3 linked regions of the Mus musculus genome follow. The main gene of each other region encodes a partner of the protein of the gene in region 2 in a complex. Links are inferred from orthologs where the notes say so. Each region holds a gene or a part of one and is shown on either strand. Other genes may lie near its edges.

What was found.
Region 1: Dpm1 (region 2) and Dpm2 share a complex: the UniProt entries of both Homo sapiens proteins name them as parts of the dolichol-phosphate mannose (DPM) synthase complex. The link is inferred for Mus musculus from reciprocal best matches to the Homo sapiens genes DPM1 and DPM2.
Region 3: Dpm1 (region 2) and Dpm3 share a complex: the UniProt entries of both Homo sapiens proteins name them as parts of the dolichol-phosphate mannose (DPM) synthase complex. The link is inferred for Mus musculus from reciprocal best matches to the Homo sapiens genes DPM1 and DPM3.

What each region holds. Positions count from the first base shown.
Region 1 is NC_000068.7:32,569,429-32,573,776, forward strand, and holds Dpm2 (dolichol phosphate-mannose biosynthesis regulatory protein), read left to right. Parts: upstream 1-1,429; 5' UTR 1,430-1,481; coding exon 1,482-1,484; intron 1,485-1,777; coding exon 1,778-1,867; intron 1,868-2,868; coding exon 2,869-2,971; intron 2,972-3,530; coding exon 3,531-3,589; 3' UTR 3,590-4,143; downstream 4,144-4,348. UniProt on the Homo sapiens protein: Regulates the biosynthesis of dolichol phosphate-mannose. Regulatory subunit of the dolichol-phosphate mannose (DPM) synthase complex; essential for the ER localization and stable expression of DPM1.
Region 2 is NC_000068.7:168,208,456-168,211,027, reverse strand, and holds the end of Dpm1 (dolichol-phosphate mannosyltransferase subunit 1), read left to right. Parts: intron 1-391; coding exon 392-496; 3' UTR 497-1,980; downstream 1,981-2,572. UniProt on the Homo sapiens protein: Transfers mannose from GDP-mannose to dolichol monophosphate to form dolichol phosphate mannose (Dol-P-Man) which is the mannosyl donor in pathways leading to N-glycosylation, glycosyl phosphatidylinositol membrane anchoring, and O-mannosylation of proteins; catalytic subunit of the dolichol-phosphate mannose (DPM) synthase complex.
Region 3 is NC_000069.6:89,265,217-89,267,646, reverse strand, and holds Dpm3 (dolichol-phosphate mannosyltransferase subunit 3 precursor), read right to left. Parts: upstream 1,187-2,430; 5' UTR 1,041-1,186; intron 919-1,040; 5' UTR 914-918; coding exon 635-913; 3' UTR 568-634; downstream 1-567. UniProt on the Homo sapiens protein: Stabilizer subunit of the dolichol-phosphate mannose (DPM) synthase complex; tethers catalytic subunit DPM1 to the endoplasmic reticulum.

The sequences.
Region 1 (4,348 bases), about 140 Mb from region 2:
GTCTATGCAATGCCAGTTTGGGACCTGTAAGACAGTTTAATGTTTCTATTAGAGAGATATAAAAGATCTGCAATATTTTTAGGGTTCTTTTCTGGTTACCCTACAGCTGACCACGTGGTCTGGCAGGATGAGCAGGCCCATCTTCTTCTGTGGGGAGAATTTGCTTTTGTGTTATTCCTTTCTAACCAGGTTACCACTGCACCCCATTCCGTGGGCTGTTCATATCTGTCTCAGCTTATAATAGAAAATTATGTCATATGGGGAAATCAGCCTAGTGTCAATGTTTGGTTTGGGGGTGGAATTAAATGCCGATGTTTTTGTTACTGCTTTTTGTTGGTGTTTCTTTTCATTCTCATCACCGTGTTGACTTGGGGGCTGCTAACAGGAGTTAGCCATGTATGTGTAAGATGACATGCTGGGGAAAGTAGGTTAGTGTTCTCCAGTCTGACCCCAGTCATAATGCTCACCACAAACACACACATACATATTACATATATGTCCACACATGTTTGTATGAATATGAATGGGCACTTGACAAAGGTCGGAGAACACCTGTTACTCCTGAACCTCTTCTTGTTTGAGACGGTGTCTCACTCTGGTTTTGGGGAAAGAATAAAACGTTTTTATTTGGTATTTATAAGGTTTCCTTTAGCCATGAGGTTTAAGGAGACCTACTACTCCTCATGCCTCCAGAGTGTTGGGACTACAGAAATGCACCACCATGCCCAGCATCAATTCGGGGATCTTAAAGCCCCACTTTTGGTCCTAATCATCGAAGAAACTGGTTAAAAATACCTGTCAGGGCACAAAGAGGGAGCTGTTGCCTCTGGTTGCAGAAATGGATAACCTGCATGGTGTAGCATTTGGAGAAGAATGGATCTACAGCAGCTAGCCCCATATGCCATGAGAGTAGTGTTCTGGGTGAGAAACAGAAGAAAAGCATGAAAGATAATTTGGCCCAGCGCCCCTTGGTTCTAAGAGGGCCATTCTGAAACCTCTGGCAGTGGACAATGAAGGGAAGCCTAGAAAGTTCCCTAGGAAGCCAACCAGTGGAAATTCTCATAGGCCAGGCCAGTGGTGGTCATTCTATACAGACTCTTCCATTAACAGTTTCAAGGCCAGAATGTAGAGCCTTTGAATTCTGATGTCTGCTTCAACAACCAACTCATTATGATCTATCCCTTTCCGGGACTTCCAACTCTGGGGTACATCTCACTCTGGCTTGGGACTGTAGGATAATGTTTAAATGATTATTGTTTGGGAAGGGTCTGACAGGGATGTAGCCACAAAAACCTGAAAGTCTGAGCTCCCGGCCCTACAGTTCCCTGCAGAAACTACATTTCCCGACATGCACTGGAGGGCGGGGAAAAGTGCCCGCACGTCAGCTCAGACGAGTCTCCGCGTGTCACGTGATTTACAAGCCGGAAAGGCCTAAACCAGGAACCGGATGTATTTTGTTGCTCCGGCGGAACGCTGGAGAGATGGTGAGCCTGGGGTGGAGTACATGTGTGATTTGAGGGTACCAGGGGTCGGGGCTCTGAGTAAGAGTCTCCTTGGGAGATGGAGTTGGGCTCTCCAAACCCAGATCGCTCTCTCCACCGCTTGCAGACAGGTGACACGAGGCCTGACGTGGCTTTCTAAACCCGAGAGCCACTTCTAGTAAGCCCTCCGTGGTTCTAAATGAATGAGAGGTTTGGAGTGTAAACCGGCTGCTCCGACCCTCCGTTAGTGCTTGTACACGAGCCATCTCGCCTGCTGAGCCTTTATTTTTCTCCAGGCCACCGGGACAGACCAAGCAGTAGGATTTGGCCTTGTCGCCGTTAGCTTGATCATCTTCACCTACTACACCACTTGGGTGATTCTCTTGGTATGTGTGCCCCACCCCCACCCCGCTCACCTTCATTTTGCTCTGGATCTCTAAGCCAGTTTCCTAACGCGACTTAATCAGCGTCTGTGTGCCAGCGTCTGGATGTTTAGCTAGCTCTAATCTCACGAAATCTACACTATGGTGCTTGCAGATGGTGTCTACATTTTATAGATGAGGAGGCTAAGACTCGGGGAGAAGGCTGTTTCTCAGCCTCTGAACTGCCGCACAGTGAGGCTTTATTTTGTGTTTGTCCTCCTGGTTAGCCAGCAGGTTCCTGGGTGTAGCAGTCGCCGGTGGAGTTTATTAACATCTCAAGTCTCTCTCTCTCTCTCTCTCTCTCTCTCTCTCTCTCTGCCTCTCTCTTTAATGTGGGAAATTTTGTTAGTTATTGTTTTAAAGTACACTGTGCTTGGAAAGGGGCATCTTGCAGTACTTGGTATCCTTCAGAGAGGAAAGTTAGGTGGGCTGACCTTCGGTGATGAAGAGAACTGGCTGATTCTCCAGAGGACTGGGGTTCAAGTTCCAGCACCCACATGGCCAGCTACAACCATCTGTAACTCCAGCTCCAGGAGACCCAGCAAAAGTCCCTGGAACGGAACGCCATTGCTGCTTAAGTTGTGTTAGGAGTTAGATTGGAGATCCAGGGCTTGGATGAAAGTACACCTGGACTCACAGGCACAAATGCATGATCAAAAAATAAAGACCTCTTTAAAAGACCTAGAGTTCTCAGAAGGCAGAAGAAGGGGGGAGGGCAGCTTGGTGAGGTCAGCCAGGGCCTCAGAAATCAAAAAGGATGGTTTCCAGCACTCACAAGGCCCAGGCAGTATTCAACAATACAGAGACAATATGGTGGGTCTCTTGTTATGATACATATCCACGCTTGGGGATGCTATCAAGGTGGGCCCTCAGTATCCAGTGCTGCCAGGGGGAGGTGGGACGGCTTCCCTTTGGGGCTGAGTAAGGTGAGCAGTACTCACCAGAGCTCTTGCCCTTGGTGCCAGCCATTCATTGACAGCCAGCATGTCATCCACAAATACTTCCTGCCCCGCGCCTACGCCGTCCTCCTCCCGTTGGCCGCAGGCCTCCTGCTGCTCCTATTTGTGGGTAAGTCTCCCGATCTGGGGCAGGGTGTCTGGAAGGCAGCGTGCTTCCACATGCTGGCACCTGCTGTACATCTGCTTAGACTCTCCTTGTCACCAATGCTCCCCGGGGCTTTCCTATTCCTTAAAGGCCACGGGCAGAAGCTCCTCTAGTGGTGTTCCCAGTTTTCAGGTTCCTGGGGCAATGAGGACATGGCTCCCCTTTCTTTCCTGTCTCAGCTTCATCTTCATCTCTTCAATGTTCCTGCCTCAAGTCACCCTGGCATCTCTTACGGCTCTGTGGGTTGGGAACTGTGTCTTTGCTGTTACGCTATTCTAAGCTCTAGCCCAGGAGCCTAAAAGAGTGCTTGGGTTGACTGAGGAACCACATGGCCGGATGATGCACAGGTGGTTAGCCTTGCACCATTTTGGTGATAGTTAACTGACCCTCAGTGGCTGTGTGACCTAGTGAATGACTGCAAAGATGCACCCCTAGGGGGGTTGGTTGGGAGCCTGACCTTGCATGCCTGGCCACCTAGCTTCCACTCCAATCCTCCCAGTCCCTCCTATTCTGTGTATTACAGGATTGTTCATCACCTATGTGATGCTGAAGAGCCAGAAGATAACCAAGAAGGCTCAGTGAAGGTCCAGCAGGGATGAGGCTGTAGGGGCCTTCTCCATATCTCCTCCAGAAAAGGGACCAAGGGTCACAGCTTACAAGATGGTCAAGCTGGCTGCACTGCAGCCCTCTTTGGGACATGGGGCTGTTTTCTTCTCAGTTTGACAACCTGGAGCCCTCTCTCTCTTGGTCATCCTTTTAGAAGCCAAGAGAAAGGTGGGTTGGGAAGCCTCTCACTTCCCTTAGGCTCAGAGGCTGAACATTGCTGGTTGGTCCTGTCCATCTCACAGTCAAAGCTCCCTGTCCCTTCCACCGAGTTCTCTCCTCTCACCTCTGTGCTCCTCCCACTGTGCTGATGGATTGAGCAGGCCTTCCCGCCTCTCTGTACAAGTCCTGTCCCGTCACAAGGCAGCTCTTCCGAGTCTGACACTTCCCAGGCTCCATGAGGACTTCTGGACCCAGGAAGCCCTGGGGAAAGACTGACAAACCCCAGAACCACAGGGTTACATCCAGGCAGCCACACTAGACCACAATTGGCCTGTTTGGGAAAACTTACAAATAAATGTTAATTGCGTTGGTGTTTGTCTCTCTGCCATCCTTGCTCTGGGGAAACTGGCTAGAGGAGGCTCAGATGCTACTGAGTTGTGCAATGAGGGCACCTCAGGTTGTACATTTGCGATGTCCCTATGTCAGACACAGGGTAAAACTGGAACTGGGATAGATATGATTCTTACTCGGGAAATGTCACAGCGGAGAATCAGAAGCCTGGCGCATCTGCTAAGG
Region 2 (2,572 bases):
CACATCTAATACCAAATACTACCCTCCCAGAATGCCTCTTGTCTTGTGAACATTAGAAGGGTTATAATTTAACTCCTCTGCGACATTAAACGTAACAATTGAAAGAGAGAAAAAAAACTGAAAAACCATCGTACTGGAACTAGGCCCTGAAATTGAGTGCACTAGCATAGTGTTGAGGTCAGTGCTTCTCAGACAGCTGCAGGTTTCATCCAGATGACTGACTGTAGGTAATGAGTGTGTCGAGGACAGTGACCCTAAGAACCGAGATTGTCAGTGCAGAGTCCTGGTGCTGCAGGTTGAGGCTTTGCTCTGTGTTGAATGCCATAGCCTGAGCTCGCTGCTGCTGTTGGTTGAAGACTGACTTTAATGTATTCTGTGTTTTCTAAACCAGGTTCCAATTTCATTTGTGGATCGAGTTTATGGTGAATCCAAGTTGGGAGGAAATGAAATAGTCTCGTTCCTGAAAGGGTTATTGACTCTCTTTGCTACCACATAAAAGAAATGATTCACTTATGCTTCCCGTGTTCATTTCAATTAAAAGTAGAGAAGCCCGGGTCACTGATTTTTATCAATGTTGTCTTAACACATGAGCCAAAGGTAAGATGCATTTAATGTGGATCTTTTTCTCTGGAGAAGCTCCATTTTATATTTCAAATTAAAATTTAAAGTTCTTGGTTTAGTGAGCAATGTTCTCAATTTTCATGTACATTACACCTATAAATAAATGTATATAGGTTTTGCATAAAATGTTGCTGCTTTCATTTAGATAATGTGAGTGCAAGTTTCTTATGAAAAAAATGTGGAATACTTCATAAAACTAGATTGTTAGTTCTTTATCCCTAGATGGTAGAAAGGGAAGCTTAATTGCATTTACGAAATACAGTTAGTGTATGAACTAGAAAAGAAGTAAAACCTCTGACCTGAAGTCCATGGCAGATGTCTGAACCTAGATGAAGCAGTGCTCCCTGCATGTGCTCCCTGCATGCAGACTGAGCATAGCCTGGTCCGTCAGAGCAGACCTGTGCAGAGTACAGTGTGGGCTGGGAAGCAGTTAAGCAGTGGGTCACATTAGCTGTGCTCTTGGCTTTGTCTTCTTGAGCAACAACTCCTATTGGAAAGAGAAGTATTTTATCTCTTTTTATCTCAAAATATTTGTACATTATTTCAATACCTCAACAAAACTTGATACCACAACAGAAAAATACCTGTACTATTTTTCTTCATCCAGAAAAATGTTCTATTGTTAAAATGAAGGATAAGTTGCTCCATACTGTCAGGGAAGATACTTCACTTATCAGTCAGTGAACTTCTGTCTGTAGCATAGCTTTCAGATCATGTAGTATGTTTCAGGGTCTCTCTGTGTAATAGCCCTGGCTGTCCTAGAACTGGCTTTGTAGACCAAACTCAGAGATCCATCTGCCTCTGTCTCCAAAGAGCATGTTTTAGGTTTTGAGTGAATACATGAGATCTAGTTGCATGTCCTTTGCAAGAAAAAAAGAACAGACATCTGTCTCTTAAGTTACTGCATAATCACATTTAGTGAACAGTGTCATAGCCCAAGCTGACTTCCAGCTTACTCTGTAGTCAAAGCTAGTCTTGAATTACTGGTCCTGTTTCCTTCATCTCTCAAGTGTGAGGACTGTGGTGTGCATCATCATACACCCCAACCTGTATACTTGTTTCCCACCTTACTTGGGCTGCTAAAGAAATTGAAAGTCTTAAATGTTCACTTCCTTTTTCTAGCTGATTGTAACAAGAACAAACGTGAGCTACACCTTCACTTTGTTTTGAGCATGAAAGCCTTGCCATGTAGTCACATAGCTGGGCCCACAGTGCATATTCCAATAAGAACTACTGTTGTTGTGTTCCCCTTTGCCAAAACTTGTCGCACATCCATGGGGAAGTGACTTGTTTCATCCTTAATAACTAGAATATTTATTAGTGTTCAATTAAATTTTGTTTTAAGCCAAAGTCATAGGACTATAATGTTATCGAATTGTTTTTTGAGTGCTGAGAAATCTATCTTGAAACAAGGCATTAGGTTTTCAGTATCAAGTACACAGAACAGAAGTTAAGCAGCGACCTCAGCAGGAGTCACTGTAGATACAGCATTGCTGCCTCACACCTCACTGGGGCAGAGAACTTTGGTCTTTTTCATTTTTCAGTACTTAGCCTGTGTAGAATTACTCTGTCACTACTGCCATCGCACAGGGTGTGTTTGAGCAGTAAACACCAGCATTCAGAAGCCATTTAGAGAAGAAGGTTGCCCAATTTTTTTTGTTTGTTTGTTTTTTGTTTTTCAAGACAGGGTTTCTCTGTATAGCCCTGGCTGTCCTGGAACTCACTTTGTAGACCAGGCTGGCCTCGTGGCCTCGAACTCAGAAATCCTCCTGCCTCTGCCTCTGCCTTTGCCTCCCGAGTGCTGGGATTAAAGGCATGCACCACTGCGCCCGGCTCAAGGTTGCCCAATTTTTATGCTGTATTTTTGTGCTAAATCTGGTGACATAAGCATGCACAGTTTTTTAAGTTCTCCGTCAGAATCCAGCACCTTTTATGCTACAAAGTGAAGCAC
Region 3 (2,430 bases), on a different chromosome or scaffold from region 2:
AAAAAAACAACCAACTTGAAAGCTGTGAAGAATGGAAGGAAGTTAGGGACCCATGCTTCCTGCGCAGCCTTGTATGGGAAGCCTCGCAGCACTTCCAAGGTTGAAGCTGAAGCGGGAGGACCACAGGTTGAGGGCAGCCTGGGTAGCACGACAGGGTTGGTTGTAAGCCAGGTTGAACTACTTATTAAAACCATATATATTAAAACCATATACACAAGTAAACAAACCTGTTTTGGGGATATAGTTCAGTTGTGGACTTCCAAGTTTGAAGCCCAGCATGACATAAACTAGTCTAGTCATGGTGGGTTTAGCCTGTAATTAGAGACGTTAGAATCGAGATAATCCACAGCCATATGGCTGGGGTCAAGGCCAGTCTAGGGTACATGGCATCCTATTTCAAACAGAAAAAAAATCTTGAGAAGGGAACAGAACACCATCAAAATGCAAAGCTAAGTAAGGCCTGGTAAGGTGGTTCTCCTGCCCCCTCACCTCTTGACCTCTAGTATATAGAATCCCCATCCCACCCCCCACCCCACCGCTATCCTCCATACTCAAAACTACACAAGATTAGAAAATAAAACTGCATTTTAATGCGGAATGAGGAAAGATGTCCAGACTGGAATGGGTTTAGGTGTCAGAAGCGCAGCCCCCTGCGTGCTAAATCAGCTCGGGCCTCCACGATCTGGCTCTGCAGCTCTCGGGCAGCGTCCTCGCAGTCGTGAAATGTAGCTACGCGATAGCCCACCGTGCCCAGGGCATAGCAGCCAGCGGAGACCAACAGGTAGGCAGGCAGTGGCCACAGGACCTCTCGGCAGGGGAAAGGCAACTCCAAGCCCAGTGCTCCCATGGTCAGGGCAGCCCAGGCAGAGCCCAGGAGAGCCAGTCCCCAAAGCCACTGTGTTAACTTCGTCATGTTGGCTGCAGGGAGAAAAATCAAAGCTAAGGGTTCTTTCTACCGATCCCCGCTCTGCATCTGACATTTATTCCCAGTCTCCGCCACCCATTTCCGTCTTTCCACTCTGCCCGCCACCTAAGCGTACCTCCGTGTGCCGCGCTGACAAGGCCCGCATCAGCATCCGGAAGTCCCTTTCTACTACCGCCCTTTTTCCGGGCTGCCTTCTGGGAACTGTAGTTCTTAGGACAATTTCGGCCGCGCTCAGATCCAGGTTGGTTATACACTGCTCTTCGAAAATCTGAGTTCAGAAGAGTTTTTGCCGTTTTGTTCTGGAGACCCACATCGATACCGGCTGGAACTTGTGGACAATCGGAGGATACCCCGAAACGCTGCGTTAAGATGGGAATGTTACATCGCCCCCCTTAAACTAGATTCTCCAGTGCAGAAAGCCCACTCATTCAATTATTCAAGCATTCTTCCAACACACCCATCAATCAGCAAACATGAACAGGCCGCCTCACACCTGCTAGGCAAGTTCTCAACCACTGAGCCCTTTTATATTTTGAAACAGGATTTTACAGAGTACCCGGAATAAACTTGAACTCCAGTCTGAGATCCTGTCTTGAAGAAATAGGCTGGTCATGTCAAATTGAACTGCAAATCACAGGCCCATATACCTGTGATTCCAGGGCAATTCAACAGAAGAAGAAAGAAGACCATGACCATTACAGGATATGATAAAGGGTTGGTTGCTAGGGGATGGAGAGGTGGCTCAGCAGTTAAGAGCACTGGCTGCTCTATCAGAAGATCCTAGTTCAATTCTCAGCACCCACATGACAGCTCACAGCTGCCTGTAACTCCAGTTCCAGAGAATCTGACACCCTCACACAGACATACACGCAGGTGAAACATCAATGTGCATAAAATAAAAAAAAAATTTTTTTTTAATAAAAAGGGGTTGGTTGCCTTTAGGTAGCAATAACAGTTTAAATAAAACAAGGGGGTTTTCTTTGGCTTGATTTTTGGTTTGTTTGGGTTTTAAATCTTTATTTATGTGTGCATATGTGTGTCTATCTGAGCGTATACTGGATACATTTAGGTGCCTGCAGAAGCCAGAAAAGCTGGAGTTACAGGTAGTTGTGAGCTGTCTGACACTGGAGCTAGGAACCAAACTCAGGTCCTCTGGAAGAGCAGCAAGCACACTTAACAGCTGAGCTGTTTCCAGCCTGGTTGGTATTCGTTTTGTTTTGAGACAGAGTCTAATGTAATGTATTCCAGGCTGGCCTAGAGCATGGGATGTAGCTGAGGATGGCCCTGAACCCTTGTTACTCCTGCCTCTGCTTTCCCAGTGCTAGAATTAAATGTGTGTGTTACCAAACCTTCCTTAAAGCAATTCTGTTGTTGGAAAAACGAGTAAATGAGGAGTGAAAAAGTCCTGAGGACATCCACATGATCCCAAGGCTCAGGAGGCAGGGCTGCTCCAAGTTCAAGGCCAACATGAACTACATAAGGAAGGCCCTGATTTAAAGGGAAAA